Oryzias latipes: one gene and its partner. The protein of the gene in region 2 purifies or fractionates together with the protein of the main gene of each other region. This does not show direct contact. Links are inferred from orthologs where the notes say so. Each region holds a gene or a part of one and is shown on either strand. Other genes may lie near its edges.

Region 1 (10,123 bases), on a different chromosome or scaffold from region 2:
TTTTTCTTGGAAAAGTTTTTCAATATTTTATTTTTTATTTTATGGTAGGTAAAAAATACAATTAAATGAAAAAGAAAATTAAAATATTAAGAAGAAAATTATGACAGGTGAGACGATTTAAACTTGGTTACCGTAAATCTTTTTAACCAAGAATAATGTAGGACCATAGTATACCATGAATTACAGTAATAGAACAAAACGTGAACCAAGACAGATAGTTAAAGTCCTGGCAACAGAGGATGTTTGATCCCGTCACACTGAAGCAGCACTGCTAATATTGGGGTTGGGGGCTTTTTTCACACGCCAATATTTACGTGCTGCTACAGCGTAGCAGGTATATTGAAAAAGGAAGGGTCCACCTCATCGCCATTAGTGGATCCACAAAAATAAAAAAATTAAAATAAAAAAAATATTAAAAATATAAAAAAACTCTGTTAAGCTAGCAAATAGTTTAGCAACTGACATTCAGGTTTATGTGGGAGAATTTCAATTTTTTGCATTTTTTCCTTAAAATTCTAAAGCAGCAAATAATGGTTCGCACTTTTTTCTGACTGTTTCAAACCATGATGCGCTGCTACAGCATTCTAAGGTCTTGCAGAGGGCAACCCCTCCCCAGTTCTTTTCTATGACACCACAGCATATTCCATGACATTTCCAGACATGGCCTACAGGTACATGAGAAACATTTAAGCAAAAAAGAACCTGAGAATTGCACTAAAAAAAATAAAAAAATAATAATAAAAAAAGATAAATGACAGAATGGCATGATTATTCAAAAAAAAATAAAGTTTTTTGGACTTGCAGGATAAGAGGAAAAAAGGAAAGAATACAAGAAAAACACTAAATAATTACCTGTAAAATCAGAAACCTGTTGTGGTCGAGGTCAATACCGTGACTTCGTAGTAATGCCCCCACTTCTTTAAATGTGGCTTTCTTGCCATTGATATGGTAGGCTGAGGAACCGTCTTTGTTGGCAGTCCTGGAAACGTAGAATTTGCTGTTGGGGATGACTTCGTAGTCATCTCCTTCCTGGCTCGGGGGGGGGGGAGGGGCAGAAGACACAGCAGCTTAGAACAGAACAGTTCAGGAGAGGCTGAAACAGCCCAACACGTCAAACTGTTCCAACACTGACAGATTCACTTATTAACAAGGCCTACATAGAAAAACACACACATAAAATATTGTTTATGAGAATGCACTACATCTATAAAGGCAAAGGATAAGATAAAACACTAAATGTGTATTGGAGTGTATTGCATCGTAAGCTTCCTAAACTTGTAACTACAAAAGATAAACGGATTGGGTAAAAATGTTTAGTTGAAAGAAGAAAAAAGGCTATTTATTTAAGGCCGTGTGCACATCGCTGAAAGAAAAAACCCTGTAGTTTTAAGGAATGATTGTAAATACAAAACTGACAGATTTCTCAGTTTGTGCCAATTTTAAGACAAATCAATGTTTATTAAAAAATACACAACATTTTAGCTTCAGCAGTGTGATCAAATTCACAGTCCCTATGGCTAATTTAATTTATAAAAAATTTTCTAATTGGGGGGAAAATGTAGCTCACAGTTGGTGGTTACAGCAGCCTGTTATTACATCCTACCTAAAGCAAACACTACTGCTTTTTTTTTTTTTTTGCCACCATGAAAAAAAGCAGAGGCAATAAATGCATTTGTTTATCTCTTTCCCTTCATTGCCATCAGATCAATTTTAGGGCAAAATGACTCAAATGTGGCACGTGTGGGAGTTCCAGTAACTTTCACAACTGATTTAAGTTTACACTTGGTCACTAGAAGAAGAATTGAGCAGCAATATTACTGCATTAGAAACGACAAAGAACAAATACATTTTAAAAATTCATTTTTGCCCAACTAAAATATTTCTGGTGATTTTTTTTTTGTTTGTTTGAACAACAAACTGATCATTTTAGTGAAGTTTGTATTTGTGTGTAAAAAAAAAAAGTGTTTATAAATATCTGTATACCTTATCAATGATCTTTTGAAAATGCACCTCCACAGTACAGCTTTGCACATCTTTGTGTTTATCAGAGCTGTGAATCAACACTGAAAGCTTTTTTGATCTTATCTTTTGAGCTCTGTATCCAAACACAAAGAGCATGGAGTCTATCACATTAGACTTGCCGCTTCCATTTGGACCAATGATGCAGGAAAAGCGCTGGGAAGAAATTAGGAGACAAAAATAAATAAATAAAAATGAATGCATCATCCATATGAAACATACAAGAGATTAAGATTCAACAACAGCTGTCAGTAACAGCGATGACACCACACACAAGTCTAATATAGATTTAAACACTTAAATTTAGCAATATGAAACTTGCATGGACATGAGGCGACTGAAAAAGATTTTTTTTAAAGAAAAAAACATTTAAAAAGTTTCATTAAATGTGATTACACCAGTAGATTTTCAGAAACTGAGAGAAACACTAAATCAAAATGGAGGAGTGTGACTTCTTCCTCTTTTTTTAAGGATTTTTCTCTCTAAACATTTTTACTAATAATCTTATTTTTTTATAGATTTCAATAAGACACATTTATTAGAAAGGTGACCTAAGATTTCAGACAAGAAAAAAAATAGTATCAAATGAATAAGACTTGGATAGTAACAGTTACACTAAATCAGTGACGTGCAGTCAGGAGAGGCAGGTGAGGCTGTGCCTCACCTGTCATGGGAAGAAAAGAGAAAAAATAAATTCAACTATTATATTTAATCAGTAATTTGTGCTTTGCAGTCATTTTCCATTTAAATGTACCAATTTTGGGTGTTTTTTCTTTTCAAAATCGCTGAATTTCCGCATTTGCCGTTCAGATACTAAGAAGTGACGTGCGATGAGGCACCAGCCCGCTGAGCCTCACCTTGGATTGCGCAATACCTATGCAGTCAGACGGTACTGCTGTCTCTCTGTATGTCGGTTCAATCACTTGTACTGTATGAGCTGAGTTTGCATAATTTAGCAGATGTATATGATGTACAGTGTTTGTTTTTATAAATAACTGTATGTGAGGGACGTGTTTCTTGTGCTGAGCGCTAAACGCCGGCGAAAAAGCCGCTGGGTGAGGCCAGAAGTTCCCGTGCCTCACGTTAGGGGGCGCCGGTGAGCCTTGAGATTATGACGCTAAAAAAATAATAGAATAAGTGATAGCAAGCGGCAAGTCATTTTCTTCCGAAAGAGCGGCGTATGGACTTTAGTTACAAGTAAAGGTAAGACGATAATAATGTTTGTGCTTTTTTCTATGCTGCGTTTTGTATATGAAAAAAAACATGTTGAAATGATATTTTAAACAAAACACCTTAACTGTTGTCAATCAAATGGAGAATAAATTAATCAGTATGGTTCATATGTTTGTAAATCTGACTGATGACGTCAGTGCCTCACCAGCCATTAACCTCACCGCACGTCACTGCACTAAATGTAATCTAAGTACATAGTTAAATATATTCAGGACACATGGTAGATTAGAATCAAGTTTTGGTCGTACCTTGTGAAAAGGCCCCAGAATCTGCTCGCCTGCGTACGACTTAAAGTTGCGGTTCACTAAATGTGTTATCATCAGGCGGGGAGCGCCCGGCTCATTGGTCATTGCTGGGGGCGGGGGTGGAGGGATGCTACCGAGAATCTCCTCCAAACTTCGATTATCGACCGCCTCGGCAGCCTCCCCTTCTGCCGAATCTGTGGCACAGAAAAGGGCACTTTTCAGTTTTTCTGTGCGAATCGCTTCAGGTGGGGAGTGGGGGGGGGGGGGGGGTAATAGGGACGGGACAGTGGCCCATGGGGGAGGGGTGGGGGGAGAACAAAAACAAACAAACAAAAACACAGTCGGCAAGTCGCACAGACAGACAAGCGACTCCGGGGAAAGTTGACAGGCGTCGTTTTTTTCCCCCTTTGTTCAGAAAGCAAGAGTCAAGCCTCGGATCGGACATGAACGAGCACACATCAGTGCTCACAAACGCAGTCTCTCTCCGGTTTGATGCGCCACGGACACCTCCAGGATAAATGAAGTGCGTTTATATCAGCGACGTCGTTACTACACCCAGCTAAATGAAATACAGACAGGAAAAACTTTTCTGCATGAAGATCTACAACGATCTTCAAGAATCGGTTCAAAATCTTTTGTGTTCTCATATATACAAAAGAATTGACGGTGTTTCAAAAATAAAGTATAGCAGCTAGACATTTAGCGGAAAAAAAATTATTAAACAGATTCATGTACCAATGAACTTCAACAATTGCATCTTGAGAGCAGCACACGCGCTGTTCAAAAAAAAAAAAAAAAAGTTGCAGGCATGATGAATACAAATCCCGTTTTTACGTCACAACAAAAACACACCATTTCGAAGCAAATTACCTCGTTTGCCGTCAAGATCGGGCGAAGAAATGCATTCGACGATATGAAAATCATCCTGGAGTGATTTCATTTCTATGTTGCACTTTAGAAAACGTCTCAGCCATCCCAGCTACTCTTTTCAATTTAAGATAGAGGAGGGGAAGGAGCTTTACAGCTGTGCCAGTTGGCCTCTAGCAATACTGCAATACACGCAGAGCCATTGACTGAACAACTTATTTAGATTCACAGACACCAAAACAGCCTTTGTTACTTGCCAGTTGTCGGTGGTGCCTCCTCTTGGCCATTGGAGTTAGTTTCTTGAGGGGGTACATCCAGATCACCCTCAGACACATCCTGCGACCCTTTTCCTCTTGGCTTGGTAGAGGCGGTTGAGCTCTTTGCGGTTTTGGATGGCATGATTTGAAATCTAAAGGGGTCATTGGTAAAAAAATAAAAAAATAAATGGGGGGGGGGGGGGGGACACATGAGTGGTTTTTGTGTCTGTCAATCTCTCAACTCCACTTTACGGTCAGTCACACACAACTAATGTGTCAGGAGTTTGCCATTACCAGTCAAATCTTACTGCCGCCCTTCCTAATAATATACCATTGTGTTTATTATTTGTTTTTTCCTTCCAAAAGTTTAAATAGTTGCTAAAAACAAAAACATGGAAAAGTGTGTTACAGCGATTTTTATTCATCTTAACACTACTAGGATCAAAAAAAGGTTAGCTTTTAAAACAAATCCCCGTAAAAAAATGTTACAAACTAGCCAACTACAAAACTTTGGAAAAATGCTTTTTGGCCTTAACCGTTAACGTTTAACGGTGGGTAACAACGAAAAGGAAAATAAAGTTTACGTCACCCATTTGAAAAAAAAAAAAAGAAAGAAAGAAAAAGAGGGAGAGAAATTCGTGTCGAGCCTTGAATTGCTAGTTTTCTATGATGACCACTACTGAAAGCGCAGCTCAACAGATAACAGTCGAACTTGCAAACTAGCTTTCAGTCCCTGAATTCTAATGTTCAGGGCGGAATGATAATTTGAAGTTGGCCATCTAACGCGATTTGTTAATGTATTCGAATAACTAACCAAACCTACAGTACATGCAGCATGATTTAAGAATGTTTTCGTAATCGTTTTGTTACCGGATGACTATGTCGCATTAAAAGTTACTACGATTTTTTTTCCCTCGGCTAATAGTTAGGTTAGCAGGGGGGAGGGGGGGTGCTAACTAATCATTATGTCAAACTTAGCATCACAGAGCAGACCGACATATTACCACCTTTAACTGGTATAGGTTGTAATAAACATATAAACAGTAATGCTATAGGGGCTTAAGTTAAGAATCCATTATTGTTGCAATTATTAAAAAACGCTAAAAAAAAGTCAATAAGTAGTAGTAACACTATCAATGTCCTGCCAATGCTATATTTTTTCCTTTTACTTTATTTTAAAACATAGTTGGATTTGTGGCTTACTTAAAGGTTTGTCTCAATTTCAACGACCGCTATGAATTTCAGCAAATAGACGGAACCCAGTAAATATTTTTTTTCTATTTTTTCTTCATGTACCTTCCACAAATGAAAAAAAAGTCCTTCGCTGATTTTCTGTTTCGATCCAGTCCAAACCTTTCAAGAAGAATAGGTTAATCCAAGGTCTAGCAAAAAATACACTAAAATAGTCCACAAAATCGTGTGCCGTATCACCCGGAGCCGCTTCCTTTCTCGAAAAACTTGTCTTGTAAATGGCGCCTAAACTGCGCCGTCGAACCAAATTCGTTATAAACTCTCGCAAAGCATCATGGACCTTTCAAATGGTAGTGTGAAAAAAACACAAAATTCAAAAAAGGGGACGAAGCCAACTCCGCCTCGCTCCACCAGTGATAAGAAAGGCGCAACAGTAACAAAGCGATAAATGACAATTTCATAAAAAGACATCACTTACGATTTTCATTTTTTGAGTAAGGATATCTTTTAAGAAAAGAGTTGTGTTTTCAGTACTGTCGAATCATTCGGTTACTGTAAAATAAAGTCCCGCCCCATGGAAACGTTTATATTATTTTTTGGAAGTGACCGAGATCATCAACACATTATTCAGTAATAACGCAAGCCTACTTTAAAGATCATTTTCTGAATGAATTTGTATTAGTCACTCAAAAAGTAAACCCTCTATAAGTACACGCTGAGGTTGCAAATTGTTACAACTCTCGCGATGACTTGGCTGTCAACCGTTCACTCATCCGAGATTTCATGGCTAAAAAGTTAGCTTCCATACGTCATGAAAACAAAACGCTTCTTCATCAACGCTGCTTGACCTGGTTCATTTGTATCGAATATTCGAACTATATCAAATGACTTTCACACATTGATAAGAGGCACATAAAAGAAGTGCGGTCATCAGAATGCCCCCCGTGCGATTTTAAAAGGTAATGATTTTAGTTAGTTAGCTACAGTGGCTGCCTGGTAACATAGCAACTAGACGCTTGTTTGGTGTTGGTGCATTTTCTCTCTTTGTTGGATTTTCCTCTAATGTTAAGCTTGACTTAAGAGTTGATTCAAAACTGACATACGTGTGTTTTGTTTGTTTAGGATTCAACAGAGAGACAAGAACAATGAGACTAAAAACTACGCTGCAGAAGGAACCAAAACATATCCTTTAATTGCATCGTGATCCCTCTTGTTTTATAACTTATTGCCTTTGATTTGAGCTGAATGGCAAAATATTTTGAAAACTGTGACATTTCACGTTCCCGTTTTAATAGTATTATTGCTGTTCTTCAATTTAAGATTGTTTTTAAATTATTTTCTGTCCTACATTTCTGCAAACTAAAATAAATTTCTGCTGATAAGAACCACTGCAGCAATGATAAACCTTGTCATTTGCATTTTCTACTGAAAAAAATGAAGACAAAACAAAACAAACAAAAAATAAAATAAATAAAGGGGTTGGGGGCAGGTTCTCCAGATTCTAGGTATCTATGTAGAAAACATGCAATCAGCTGAATTTGTAATATTTGTCCTTTTTTTTATTATTTTTCTTAACACCAGCTCACATAAGGATCTTGTAAGTTGTTTAGGTTGGACCACAGCCGATGAGCTGTACTCATGCAGTGATGATCATCAGATCCTCAAGTGGAACCTGGTGAACAATGAAACCAATGTGGTCGTCAAGCTGTCAGAGGACATCTACCCCCTGGACATGCACTGGTTCCCCAAAACTGTTGGTGGGAAGAGACAAACCCAAGCTGAAATCTTTGTCCTCACCAGCACTGATGGCAAGTATTTTATAAAACCCACTCTGCATCTTAAAAAGCAAATGAACAGTATGTCCATATCAAGTTGTGAAAGACTCAATCAGCCGTTTTTAAATATATTTATTTATTTTACAAAATACTGCAGGATAGTAAAAAGTTTTAAGTAACCAGCCATGCTGTGACTCTTTTTTTTAAACTTCAATCCATGAAAATAAAATGCATTTTTATCTGATATTAAACTTGGACTTCACTGCATAAAAATTCCATTTGCCGTTTCGCAATGTGCCAGATGCGTTTCAATGATGATTGGCCAAAACCAAAAAATGTTTTTTTTCAGTGCCCATGCTTTTATGACGAAACTGCATGTTGATTAGAATTATGTTCCTGAAAGATGCAAGACTTTTTATGCTAAAGAAGTTTTGTGGGTAGAAGAAAAAGTTGCTCTGCCTGAAATATAATTTTTTTAGAGACGTGAACTTTTTTTTTTTGCAGAAATCTCTGCTGCTTCCATCATTATGGATGTTGAATTTGAATTCGTCAGGTGTAAATAATAATTTGTCTACACGAAAAAATGTTGCTTTTGAAACCCAAACTGCTGTGAACAGTTTTCCCTTTTCATTTTTTGACAGCATATGTTCCTATATATCGGTTTTTACATTTGTTCCTTCATGAATCATACCTGTTCTGTAATTCGACCAATGAACCCAAAGATCCCGGGCATCTAGCAATCATTATCTTATTTTTATCTTTTTTACAGAAATGATTTTGTGTTTGCTGGATGATGAGATATTCAAATACTTAATAACTTTATTGCAAGGATATTCTGAAATTCAGATTGTTTTTAATCCCAGTTCTACTGGTTCGTGAGCCCTGCCTCTCCTAGATGCTCTTTTTGTTAGATCATTCATTCATTCATTCATTCATTCATTCATTCATTCATTCATTCATTCATTCATTCATTCATTCATTCACTCACTCATTCATCTTCTAAATCTGCTTTGTCCCTTTCTGGGTCATGTGGCTGCTGGAGCCTATCCTGGCCACTCGTGGGCCAAGACAGGGGACATCCTGGACAGGTTGTCGTAGGGCTTTGTTAGATTATGTCCCTAAAAATGTTACCAACTATATAATTAGTAGCAGTCAGTTGTCTTCTTACCAACAGTTTTCCTCAGGAACCCCATAGAAGTCATTTATTTCAACATTTCAACTTTTATAAAGATGTGAGAATCCGCAGTTGCACTCATTACTTAATAAATTGTTTCCAGCGCAACTAGTGCAAAAATTAGTGTAGTGTCATTCATGATGCAACATAGATGTTTTGATGTTGCCTACTTTGAGCAAATGATAGTAATTTTCATACTTTTTGGGTAAATACACAATGGTTAATTTCTGTATTCCTTAGTTTGAGGATACCATACTGTTTCATTTGCCTTTGGATGACTTGGTTTGTCACTAAAGGCAACAATCCAGACAGTGCCAAGGTGTGTCATGCATGTTACGGTAGATATGAACACATAAGAGCATGATTGGACTGCTGTGGTAGGCAATATGTGGTCACAACTCTAATGGCAGTGTTGAATTGCAAAACGGATGCAGCAATTTACTTTGGCATGCCAGAGACTCGTTGCGATTCCCTTTTGCAACTTTCTTTCTCTTGCTTTCTTTAGTATAGTTTACACAAGCTAGACAAATAGCTGTTGCCATAAATACTACATGAAATATGAGAAGGGAAATGCATGACAATCATTTTTTGAACTACTGTGAGCCCTGACACATTTAGCAAAAGGATCAGTCTGTTATTGATCTTTAGCATTTTCTCAAATATCTATAAGAAACGTTTTCATGCTACAGTCCTGCAGCCCTGGTTACATATCTGGAATTTTCAATTTAATTCATTTGAAGTATTTTTAAAGTAAAGATTTTCTTTATTCATCTATTAATTGCAAGTAACTATTTTGGATCTGCAGTTTTTCCTTTTTTCTTTTTCAAATGTGTGCTTTTAAAACATTGTTTTGACAAATGTATGTTGCTCATCTGTTTAATATGTTGACTTAATTCATTTTGTTCTCCCATTTAAAGATGTATTGGTGCAACACTGCATTAATCAGTTTTGGACAGAGTCATTAGATCGTACTCGTCTGCATCAGGGCAAACGTGGACTGAAGAATAGTGTCACAATAAAGTCAACTCTTTTTTTTGGTTGTTTTTAAGGAAAGTTCCACCTGGTTTCCAAGATGGGGCGCATTGAGAAGAGTGTTGACGCTCACAAAGGTGCAGTCTTAGCAGGAAGATGGAACTACGATGGAACTGCTCTTGTTACAGGTTTGGATGTCGCTAACGCATACACAGCTGCAGTATAATAAATATTTGGTCAATTTTAGACAAAGAAACATATTCAATACACATTAATATTTTTTAAAGTAATGCTGCTTTCTATGGTTCTTAGCTGGAGAAGATGGGCTAATCAAGATCTGGTCAAAAGTTGGGATGCTGCGCTCAACTTTAGCCAACCAAGGTAAGGCTA
Region 2 (9,680 bases):
ATCTGATGCCACTTAAGGTTTTTCTTTCCCGAAAATCCATTTAATTTCATGTTTTTGAAAGCGCTACATCGTCCCTCTGCATTTTTTTTTTGGCCTGTGCCCCCACCTCAAAGTTTCAGGAAAATAAACACCAGAAAAGCAGGAAACTGTTAGGAAGTCACTGTGACTTAGAAGTTCCTTCTTTTCCATTGGCATCTGAACAGATAAGGCGAGAAAAAGTGTAGAAAGCGAATTTCCTTCTGCGTAAAATCTAATATGAAACATAATGGTTTATTGCAGCAACATTGCACTTTTGCTTTTATGGGTTTAACTTTGATTTATTTTTTGCTGCCTAAATAATTCACAGCCAACAGACATCAAAGCAGAAAAGGTGAAAAGCTGATTACAGATGGACTTAAACGGTTTCTGAAAAAATAGTTTGTTAGGAGTCTTCCCAATAACATTCACAATATAAAACCCATTAATCAACAAACAGATGCAGACCTCTGCCCGTCTAAACTTCAACTCCAGTCGGATTTAAAGTTTTTTTTTTTACCATTTCCTGTGTTCCAAAAGCTGAGGCCCAGTTCAGCAGCGTCTGTCCCACGTCGTCCATGAAGTTCACTTCAAAAGCTGAAAGAGAACAAACTCTGTCATCAAAAGTCTTAGGCAGCAGACACACACGCGTTTGATCCTCAGTTCCAGTTTCTACATGAAGGCAGAGGCTCATGGGAACTGTAGTGCGTCGGCCGCTCTCACCTCCAGTGTCGATGGCATCTATCAGGGCGTCCGTGTCTTTGCTGCGGATGCAGTCGATGAGCTGTCGGTGCGACCGCTCCCCTGAGCTGTCCAGCCGGCGAAGCCCCGGGATCCGACCTGCTGAGCCGGCGGTGGACTTTGGCAGCGCTTTCCGCCCCTCGAACAGAAGCACCAGCAGCAGGTCGACCAGCCGCATGGTGTCCAGCACACAGCGCTCGTCTCCTCCCAGCGCAGACTCCATGGAGTTAGGGAGTGCCGAACGTAACAAGTCCTGAAAACCAGGTTCAGCTTTAGTACACGGCAACTTTGTTTAAAAAAACAAAAAAAACTGGACTTACATGAGTGACCACTGGCGACCCCCGGCAGAGCGTGGACAGCAGGCTAACGATGGTGGACACCTGGTTGCTCAGTTTGGAGTCGGAGGCAGACGGTGTGGCACCAGTGGAGGGCCGACCTGGTTTACAGGCAGAAGAAGAGCCCGACACGGAACCTCCGGCAGCCGCCATGCGGGAAAGCAGCTCCTCCGTCAGTCCATGTTTGGCCAGAGGGGCGGGGTCTACGCCTCGACGAGTAAACCGATCAGCCAATGAGGCGAAGCAACGCAGAGCACCGTCTGACACCTGGAGGACAGAAAGCGTCTTTGAGTCAGAAGGCTGCATTTCTGAACCAGCTGGTGTCCGGTGGGGGTGCCGCCCGGTTACCTGGTGATCCTCATGTTTCAGGAGGCTGGACAGAGACTCCACGCAGGTTTCTAGAGAAGAGTCCTGCGGCTCCATCTTGCTACAGAGGCGAGACACCACTGCCATTGCAGAGTGCAGAGTGTCTTTGTGGACCAGGTGACCACTGTCGCGTATGAAGCTCAAAACGCAGTTCAGACCGCTGGCTTCAAACACGGCGCCAGATTCCCTGGTACAGATCAGCTCCAGCACCTGCAGTCACAGGTTTGAAACTCAAACAACCGTTCTGGACTTTTTAACATCACGCTAGAGCTCTTTAAAGGCATCTCCATTCATCTGAAGTGTTGCAGGCAAAATTCACCAGTGTTTATCTAATGAGCGTGGACAGAAACCGCTGCGTTTGAGACGCAGCTCAGGAGCTGCACCTGAGCTGCTGCATTGAAGCTAAAACCCAGTTGATTTAGCTGCAATGCAGATGATGAAGATGTGTTTACATTAAGGGATAAAGCTGACCGAAATCCTCCTTCAACAGAGACTAAAAGATTAAGATAAACAAGAATACAAACAATTGAATCATTTTTATGTGATGAAACAACATCACAGGTTACATGACGGTGCCAAAATTGTCAGCATAAGTTGTTTTTTTCCTCAGTCCCCCTGCAGTGTCTCTGGATCGCAGCGGACACTCCCTCCCTCCTCCTCTCACATGCGCACACACACACAAATACATCACTTGTATTTCATCCCAATAGTTCATTTTCTTTGGTCTGAAATAGAATTGCAATCCCCGTCAAGCTATTCCCATCATAAACTCTCAAACCGGATCCTCCTAAACATCATCATACAAATATGTTCACACCAGAAAACGGGAATGGATGACACATGTCAAAATTGTTATTGTGCGAATGATTATTTTCAAATTAAGCTTATTTTCAAATTGTAGACGTTAAAATAAAATAAATTGCTTCAAAATTTTGCTATGTCTTTAAGTTTTTTCTAAATTACATTTGCAAGGCCCTGAAAAGGGAGAAAACAGGTTTAGAAGATGAATGAATGAATATTTGCAAGGCAAAGGTAAAAATGCCTTTGGAAAAAGCAATATTTGTTTAGTTGGCCTGTGGGAGGGGCTTATAAGGCTCTGGTTCCATTGAGGCCAGTGTTGGTTACACTGGTGGTAACAAGTAACCCGTGCAGAAGTGACGGCTGTATTCTTTCTTTAGCTTAGGACCAGTAAAATCCCATGTTTCATTTTATTTTGACATTACTGACTGGGCTATGTTTTTTTGAAATGTCTATTTTCCAATGTTAAGAAGAACTCTGTCACACCAGAAAACTAATGGATCTTGTTAGATTTGAGGTAATCATCTTTTTAGAAGGCAATGACAGAATCCTCAGAACCTGTGCTCTGCCCTCCATCTCCCAGTGATTCATGCTTCACATAAAGCGCAGTACTCTTTTCATGAAATTACTACAACTATTTCAATGTACACAGACCATGATGGAGGCATTTTTTATTACATTTTTCCTGACTTTAAAACAGCTGCAACGACTCCAGGACAGTTATGGTCGTCTGCGCTAAAGAGATTTAGGAACCGACAACACGTCTGTTCATTTTAGGACGATATGGTCCACAGCAACAATTCCTCCATCAATCATCCATGAAGGAACAGGGAACATGGAGCAGCCAGAACTGAAACTGAACAAGCAATTTACCTTCCTAAAAGACTTGGTAATATTTCCATGTTATGCAGATTTTAGAGGTTTTGAAGGTCTCAGGTTCTCTGCTGCAACAGCCAAGTCTCTTACCTTAACACACTGCTCAGCCAGATCCCTGCTGGTCCTGTTGTTGAGTTCCACCACCACCAGCCGGTTGCACAGGGCCTTTATGGCCCCGTCCACACCCACGATCCTCCGCGTGCATTCTGCCGACACGTCCAGGTAGTAGGTGATGGCTCTGGCCGTGACCTCCAGCACGTTATCAGGAGCGCTCTCGTCCAAGAAGATCTTACAAAGCGCTGGGAGGAACGTTCGAGGAGGACATCTGACAGACAGGAAGATGGAGTTCAAAGGTCTGAGCACACGAGCGTCTGCGGCTCTTAAAACAGGAAAGCTCACGTCTCAAAGCAGCGGTCCACGTTGTCCGACATGAGCAGCAGCATGCAGAGCTGCTCCAAGGCGATGAGCTGCATGTCCCGCTCATCGCCCTGTCCCATCTGCAGCCACTCCAGCAACGTGTCTGGGTCCACATCCGCCATGATGGCAAGCCTGGCAGATAAACAAACCCACGTCAGACTTCATCTTTGACGAAGTTGGATTGTTTGTCAGGGATCTGGGTCATTTCTAATTGCCTTAATTATCAATATTATATGAAACCCTGAGCTCAAAATTTAAAGTTTCTGTCAGAAAAGTTGTCTATTTGGTAGTTGTTTTTAAAGCATTGCGTGTGCAGCCTGAGGACTTTGCTTTCCAAACCCCAAAGCATCACTTAGAACCGGCTGCATTTCTCTGAACCTCTCTTTGGCACTGGGAGGGCACTAAGTGACAAAGTGGATCTTCATGCATCTCCAGTGTCTGTCATTCTCCCATCTTAATAGTTAAAGATAAAAGGCTCACCTGGCTGTCCTCTGGCTGCCCCGTCTGGCTCAGTGCCCAATCACTGGTCACAGCTGAGACGCTGTTTGGTGTTCATCCAACCAATGAGATGGAGGGGGCAGGTTTCTGTGGTGACAGGAAGAGAGTGAGAGGTGCACCAAAATGGGATTTTACCTGTGAAGCCTGGATTCAAAAGTCGCATCAAAAACTGTAAAAACTCCATTTGAAGATACTGATCAACAGATCAGTTCATAAAACCAACCAGATGTGGTCAAGCCAAGTTCTGTCCAAACCTGTCAGTGAACTCTTGTTTCCCTTGTTTTTATTGAAATTTAAAAGCTTTATTAGTACAATTCATATCTTATCTACAATTCGACTCATGCACGCCCATGAGTCGAAGTGTCCTTGGGCAAGACACTGAACCCCACCTTGCCTCTGGTGGTAGGCGAGCGCCTGTGTTTGGCAGCGGAGCCGCCACCAGTGTGTGAATGTGTGAGTGAATGTGTGTGTCACTGGGTGAATGTGTCGTTGACTGTAAAGCGCTTTGTCCTTGTAGGAAGAAAGCCACTATATAAGTATACGCCATTTACCATTTACTTTGATTCTATTAAATCCTTTTTGTTTGATTTTAGAAAAGTTATTTAAATCTAGCAGAAATTTGACAAATTCATGTTGAATTGAACGAGATTTGATTGTAATTTGAATTGATTTATGACCATGTGAGTCTAAATGAGATTAGTTATAAATGTAAACACAATAAGCTTCATGAACAGGCTTGAATAAACATGTCAGATGTGTAGCTTGTTTGAAAGGATTAGCAGAAATTTTTTCCCCCCTCAAACTGTTCCTCTGTTTTTTTAAAAATAAATCCTAAAGACACAAAGTCTCCTTTTTAGGACACTTTTGTTCTGAAATGAACATGGTAACACAGTGGGTTTGGAAAGCTCAGGTAATGTTTGACAAAGTACTTCTGGTCAACATCGGCGTCCGAACACCTCCATGATAAAAAGTCACTCCAGGTGGTGACGGTCAAACATGAAGATCATTCATTTCCTGGAGCCTCTGCTGTGAGAGGAGCATGATGTCCTTCACAATCAGAGTATATTCATGTGGGTCCATCAGTACAACAGCTAAAGCTGAGCTCAAACTGGGTCACAAACAGAACGAAGATGCAGTGAAGGTCCAGACCCGACTGACATGCCATGGTGGACATTCAGTTTCATCCTGAAATGTTTTAGAGAAATATTTTGGTCAAAACTCCTCAAGATGCATGTTTGAAGGAGCTTTTTCTCTGGAGAAACAAGTACAACAGTAACTGGCTGCTACTTTCTAACTTCTAGATTTATTTTGAGACGTTGGTACCTTATCTGAGGGCACAGACAGTTAGGCTGCTTGATTCCTTAGCACAGTGAATGAGCTCCTTGTCTCCACTTGTCCAGGAGCAGTAGACCTCCCTCCCTGAACCTGACATGACTTTCAGGAAAACGGTGTCGGTGTCTAAGGTAGTGTGTAAAATCAGCTGATCAGAACAATAACTGGAACATCCACGCCAACTTCAAATAAGTAAGTCGGTGCCGAATGCTGACGGAACCATTTAAATCAGATATTGGAAGCGCTAAAGGTGACGACAGCATAATAAGTGAACACTCAACACTAAACTACAAACTTGTGTGGAAAATGGCTCAACATTATTTGGTACAGGATATACATGCGACAAACTTCCCTCTAAAACAAGCAGAATACTCACTACTGCAAGACGACAAAATCAAATGATTAATATGAATTAGGCCTGAGCGAAAAATCGATTGAATTAATTAATTCGAATTTTTTGTTACGGGCGATTTAAAAAATAACTAAATCCAGTTTTTGTGCAATGGCGCATTTGGTTTGCAACCGCATTTGGGTGCGGTTGACCGCGACTCCTGCTGCTTCATCACCGCGGTGATCAAAAATCCCATACCGTCACAGCTCTAGTTTATATTTTGAGGGACACCAAAAAAAAGGCGACTTCTCCGGTACCGATAGCAGAACCGTTGAGGTCAGATCTTACAGAGACCGCGGGCTTGAAGAATGTTGCCCCGGGGCTCGTTCAATACCGGGGCTCGGTACCAATCCATAGGAAAGGGGCACGGTGGAGAACAATCATCGAAGCGGTCGCTTTGCATATAGCCAAAGACATGGTACCCATATATACCATGGAGAAGACGGGGTTTATTAGTTTAATTAAAACCTTAGCCCCCAGATATGAACTGTATTGTTTTAGAAAATGGTGCTACTCTCAAGGTGAATGTTTGTCTCCTTTTAGTCTAGACTACAAAGTGGGACTCAAAACACAGCTGGGACTTTGATTCCAAGAGTGTGATCATTTATTTAGTATTCATCCCATTGCGTTTGCTTAAATAAAAGCAAAATTTGCTTTAACTTAAGTTGTCTGCCATTTGTACTTGTTGCTTTCCTTAAATGTGTGTGTCTGTGGGGGGGTTAAAAAAAACAATAAAATCGGAGATTTTATTTTTAGGCCATATCGTCCAGCCCTAATGTGAATGAACAAATGTACTTAAAACTTCAAAAAGGTTAGGGGAACTTGTCAATATCACAGTTGTCCGTTTTTGTGAGACATAAATAAGATGCTCCTCTTTTCAGCATCTTTTGTTTGTTCATTCATGTGGCGCTAAAGATAAGCATCTTCCCCAAAAGCTGACAAGTCAATTCAAAATTCAAGTCAAAATTTACAGCAAAATTATGGAAAATTTGTCACAAACAACTACTAAATGCTCACATAAGTGATCCATCAATTTCTATATTACTATAGTATTAGGAATTGATTAGTATAACTGATTCTTCCTTAATGTTGAAGCTTTATGTTGTCAAAACTATTAAAAAAAACAAAAACAAATTGGTGCCAGAGATCTTTTATTAAAAGAATGATCTATATTAAAGTGAAAACAGCTAATGGTTCTGAACTGCAGAAAACTCATGGACTGTGCAGTTCAAGGAGAGTTTGACTCTAGGAAACACATTGATCTGGTCATTAATAAAACAGCATTCAAAGATCAATCTGCTTATGAAAGCAGCCTATTAATAATATTTCAATATTTCACTGCATTAAACCACAATAACCACAGCACAAGCTATTTGATCCTTGCGAAGATTTCAAACCTTGTTTTTAGACATTCAAGGCATTTTACCAGGTTTAAAGTTGTTTTAACTTCTAGCTTTTCTCAAAATCAGCACAATGGAGAATTTTTGTCTGTTAGAATTAAAAAATAAGGAAATTATTATTAAGGTGAGTCAAAATCATTTTGCTCCAAACTCTTGACAATAGAATAAACTTGATTAAAGACTTGAAAAGAAATAATCAAATTGCACTGTAAATTTGGTTCAATTTTAAGGATTTAAAAGCTCATTAAATATTAAACAGGCTTTGGTTGTATCTATTTTGGAAACAAATATTTTAATTTATGTTCTATGAATAAGAGCTAGTTTTAGTTTTTAGAAGGATTTAGTATGATGGGCCCATTTGAACTAAGCTCATATTCTTATTTCACTCAGTTTGTTCTAAAATCAGTCATTTTCACTTATTACACTAGATTAGTCACTGTAGTCAATATAAAAACTACAATTGGGTACAAGAAAACTCCAAAACAAACTACTTACTTAGACTCAACAAAAAGAAACTTCTTATTGGGCTATTAACTAACTAACATTTAATTTTAAGTAATTATATTAAAAAGTTAGCTTTTTTAGCTTAATTTTTCCATGTTTTATGCTTGTTTCTAGAGTTTGATATCTTATCAGATTTCTTTTCAAGTAAAGATTACTTGATGCGTGGGCAGATAATTTTACTACTTTCTAGGGATTTTCTTCTTAGATTAGTGTTCTTTTCCTAGTTTTAGGCTACCGTTTGTGGCAGTGTACACACTCAGCTGCTAGGATTACTGTAACATTGTAAATATGATATTTGCACGATTAGTTAAAAGAGGTTTTGGCCTCGTCAGCTGCTCCTGAATGAATCCCAGATTTTTTACATCTTTTTTTCCTTTATCTTTCAATATTCTAGAGCTCAGTTTGTTTTGGTTTAATGTAGTCGGTTGACAATATCCAAACGCTGCACATCAGTAAAGCAATAAAACAAATTCAGCAAATTTAGGAATTGAAGTTAATGTTTGATTTCTGAAAAAAGTTTAAATTATTACAGACAATTTTAAGGTTTAAAGTAAAACAAGTTTTTGTGTGCCTGCTTTTCTCAGACCCGTTTGAGGTTTCTAAGAAAACCTGTTTCAAAGGAAAAACAAAGCCTCCAGTCTGAATATGAAGAAACCGGATGCGTTTGGGGAACTATAGCCGCTCTTAGATGTAAATATCCCTGATGTGAATCTACAAAACTAAAATTACAGTGTTTGTGTTTACATGACAGAAGTACCAACCGGACGGAGGTTGAACAGTTTAGGTTTGGTGACTGCCCAGAGAAAAGTCAAATTCCCGGCAGATGTTTTGTCCCCTTTGGCTGCGCGTGTGCGTGTATGTGTGTGTGTCACAGCCTGATGTGAGCAGCTGTGGTCCGAGACGTCACGGATCCAGGACGGCACGCGCTGTTGGCACGGTTACAGCTCGGTCAACTGTGACTCCCGGTTAACACAACGTCAACAAGCAAACAACACACACAAATTGGGTTTTAATTTGTTGAGACCCCACAGAAGAAAAAGGAAAAAAAAAAAAAACAGAAACTGCGTCGCCCAGCAAGGTCTGACGGAGCTAGTAACGGGGCAACAGCTGCCTGATTATTTTATCAAACATAAGAGGATAGACTGAGCTGAGATCTGCTAGGAGTTAGCCGCAACGCTGGATAACAAAAAGAATTATATTTATGTCGATTATTCCTGACAGCAATTTTTAAAACAGTTTCGAACGTGTCGCTCAGCTACTATGTAACACCAGAGTATAAACTGGAAACCTAAAACTGTCCTGAAATGTGTGTCAACAGCCTCGAATGATGATGGCAGACGTGAGCCCGTGTTAGCCGGTTAACGGTCATTAGCACGGCAGAGTAGCTTATCTCAATCCGAGTGTGCCGATTTCAGCTTTTCACTTAAAAAATTAGCCAAATGCACTTCGAGTTGTCGCGTTCTTACTACAAAACGCAAAGTATCACAGCGTGAGTCATTCCGATAATTTCGTAATTATACGTTAAAAGTACTTGTGGCCTACTACGGTGTAAGCGATCCGCGGCCCTCGAGTTCCAGGAGAGCCGCGAGGCCGCGCAGCAGTTGCGGAGGCTCATCACAAGCGACACCGGGCCCAGACCCCCCCCCCCTTACCTTAAGGACGAAGTTTTTCTCCGTCAAAGAACCGATACGCCGAGCTGCTATTTTTCGCGTCCAAACGAAGACGTTCCCAGTCGTTCGTTTTGCCGGTGTTGGTGCTGAAATCAAGGCACTCCCATTTCTTTTGAGCTGATCCCAGGCGGCGACACAGTTCAGCTCAGCGGGCCGGTAAGCAGAGCTCAGCCGACCGGACTGAGAGCGAGAACTGAGCCAAGTCTGCGGCGTTCAGGGCTGCTGTCGAGCTCGGAAATTCCACCGCTCAAATGCCCTCAGGGGAACACAATGACTGGAGGAAAACTGACATTTTTAACTACAACATTAAAATAACTTTACAACAATTAAGGAAAAG

What was found.
Region 1: the proteins of hectd1 (region 2) and smc4 purify together in Homo sapiens (affinity purification with western blotting; 3 studies listed by BioGRID, with this or other methods). This does not show direct contact. The link is inferred for Oryzias latipes from reciprocal best matches to the Homo sapiens genes HECTD1 and SMC4.

Annotation. Positions count from the first base shown.
Region 1 is NC_019871.2:13,487,353-13,497,475, reverse strand, and holds the start of smc4 (structural maintenance of chromosomes protein 4), read right to left. Parts: upstream 6,097-10,123; 5' UTR 6,053-6,096; intron 5,975-6,052; 5' UTR 5,918-5,974; intron 4,774-5,917; 5' UTR 4,764-4,773; coding exon 4,622-4,763; intron 4,601-4,621; exon of another isoform or gene 4,438-4,600; coding exon of another isoform or gene 4,368-4,437; intron 3,692-4,367; coding exon 3,501-3,691; intron 2,176-3,500; coding exon 1,984-2,175; intron 1,030-1,983; coding exon 853-1,029; intron 346-852; exon of another isoform or gene 243-345; intron 1-242. Other genes in the region: ift80 (intraflagellar transport protein 80 homolog), read left to right, coding at 6,958-6,994, 7,399-7,620, 9,811-9,921, 10,046-10,114. UniProt on the Homo sapiens protein: Central component of the condensin complex, a complex required for conversion of interphase chromatin into mitotic-like condense chromosomes.
Region 2 is NC_019880.2:2,631,155-2,640,834, forward strand, and holds the start of hectd1 (E3 ubiquitin-protein ligase HECTD1), read right to left. Parts: upstream 9,668-9,680; 5' UTR 9,326-9,667; intron 4,134-9,325; 5' UTR 4,029-4,133; intron 3,681-4,028; 5' UTR 3,671-3,680; coding exon 3,531-3,670; intron 3,457-3,530; coding exon 3,222-3,456; intron 1,668-3,221; coding exon 1,440-1,667; intron 1,359-1,439; coding exon 1,077-1,358; intron 1,010-1,076; coding exon 739-1,009; intron 613-738; coding exon 536-612; intron 1-535. UniProt on the Homo sapiens protein: E3 ubiquitin-protein ligase which accepts ubiquitin from an E2 ubiquitin-conjugating enzyme in the form of a thioester and then directly transfers the ubiquitin to targeted substrates.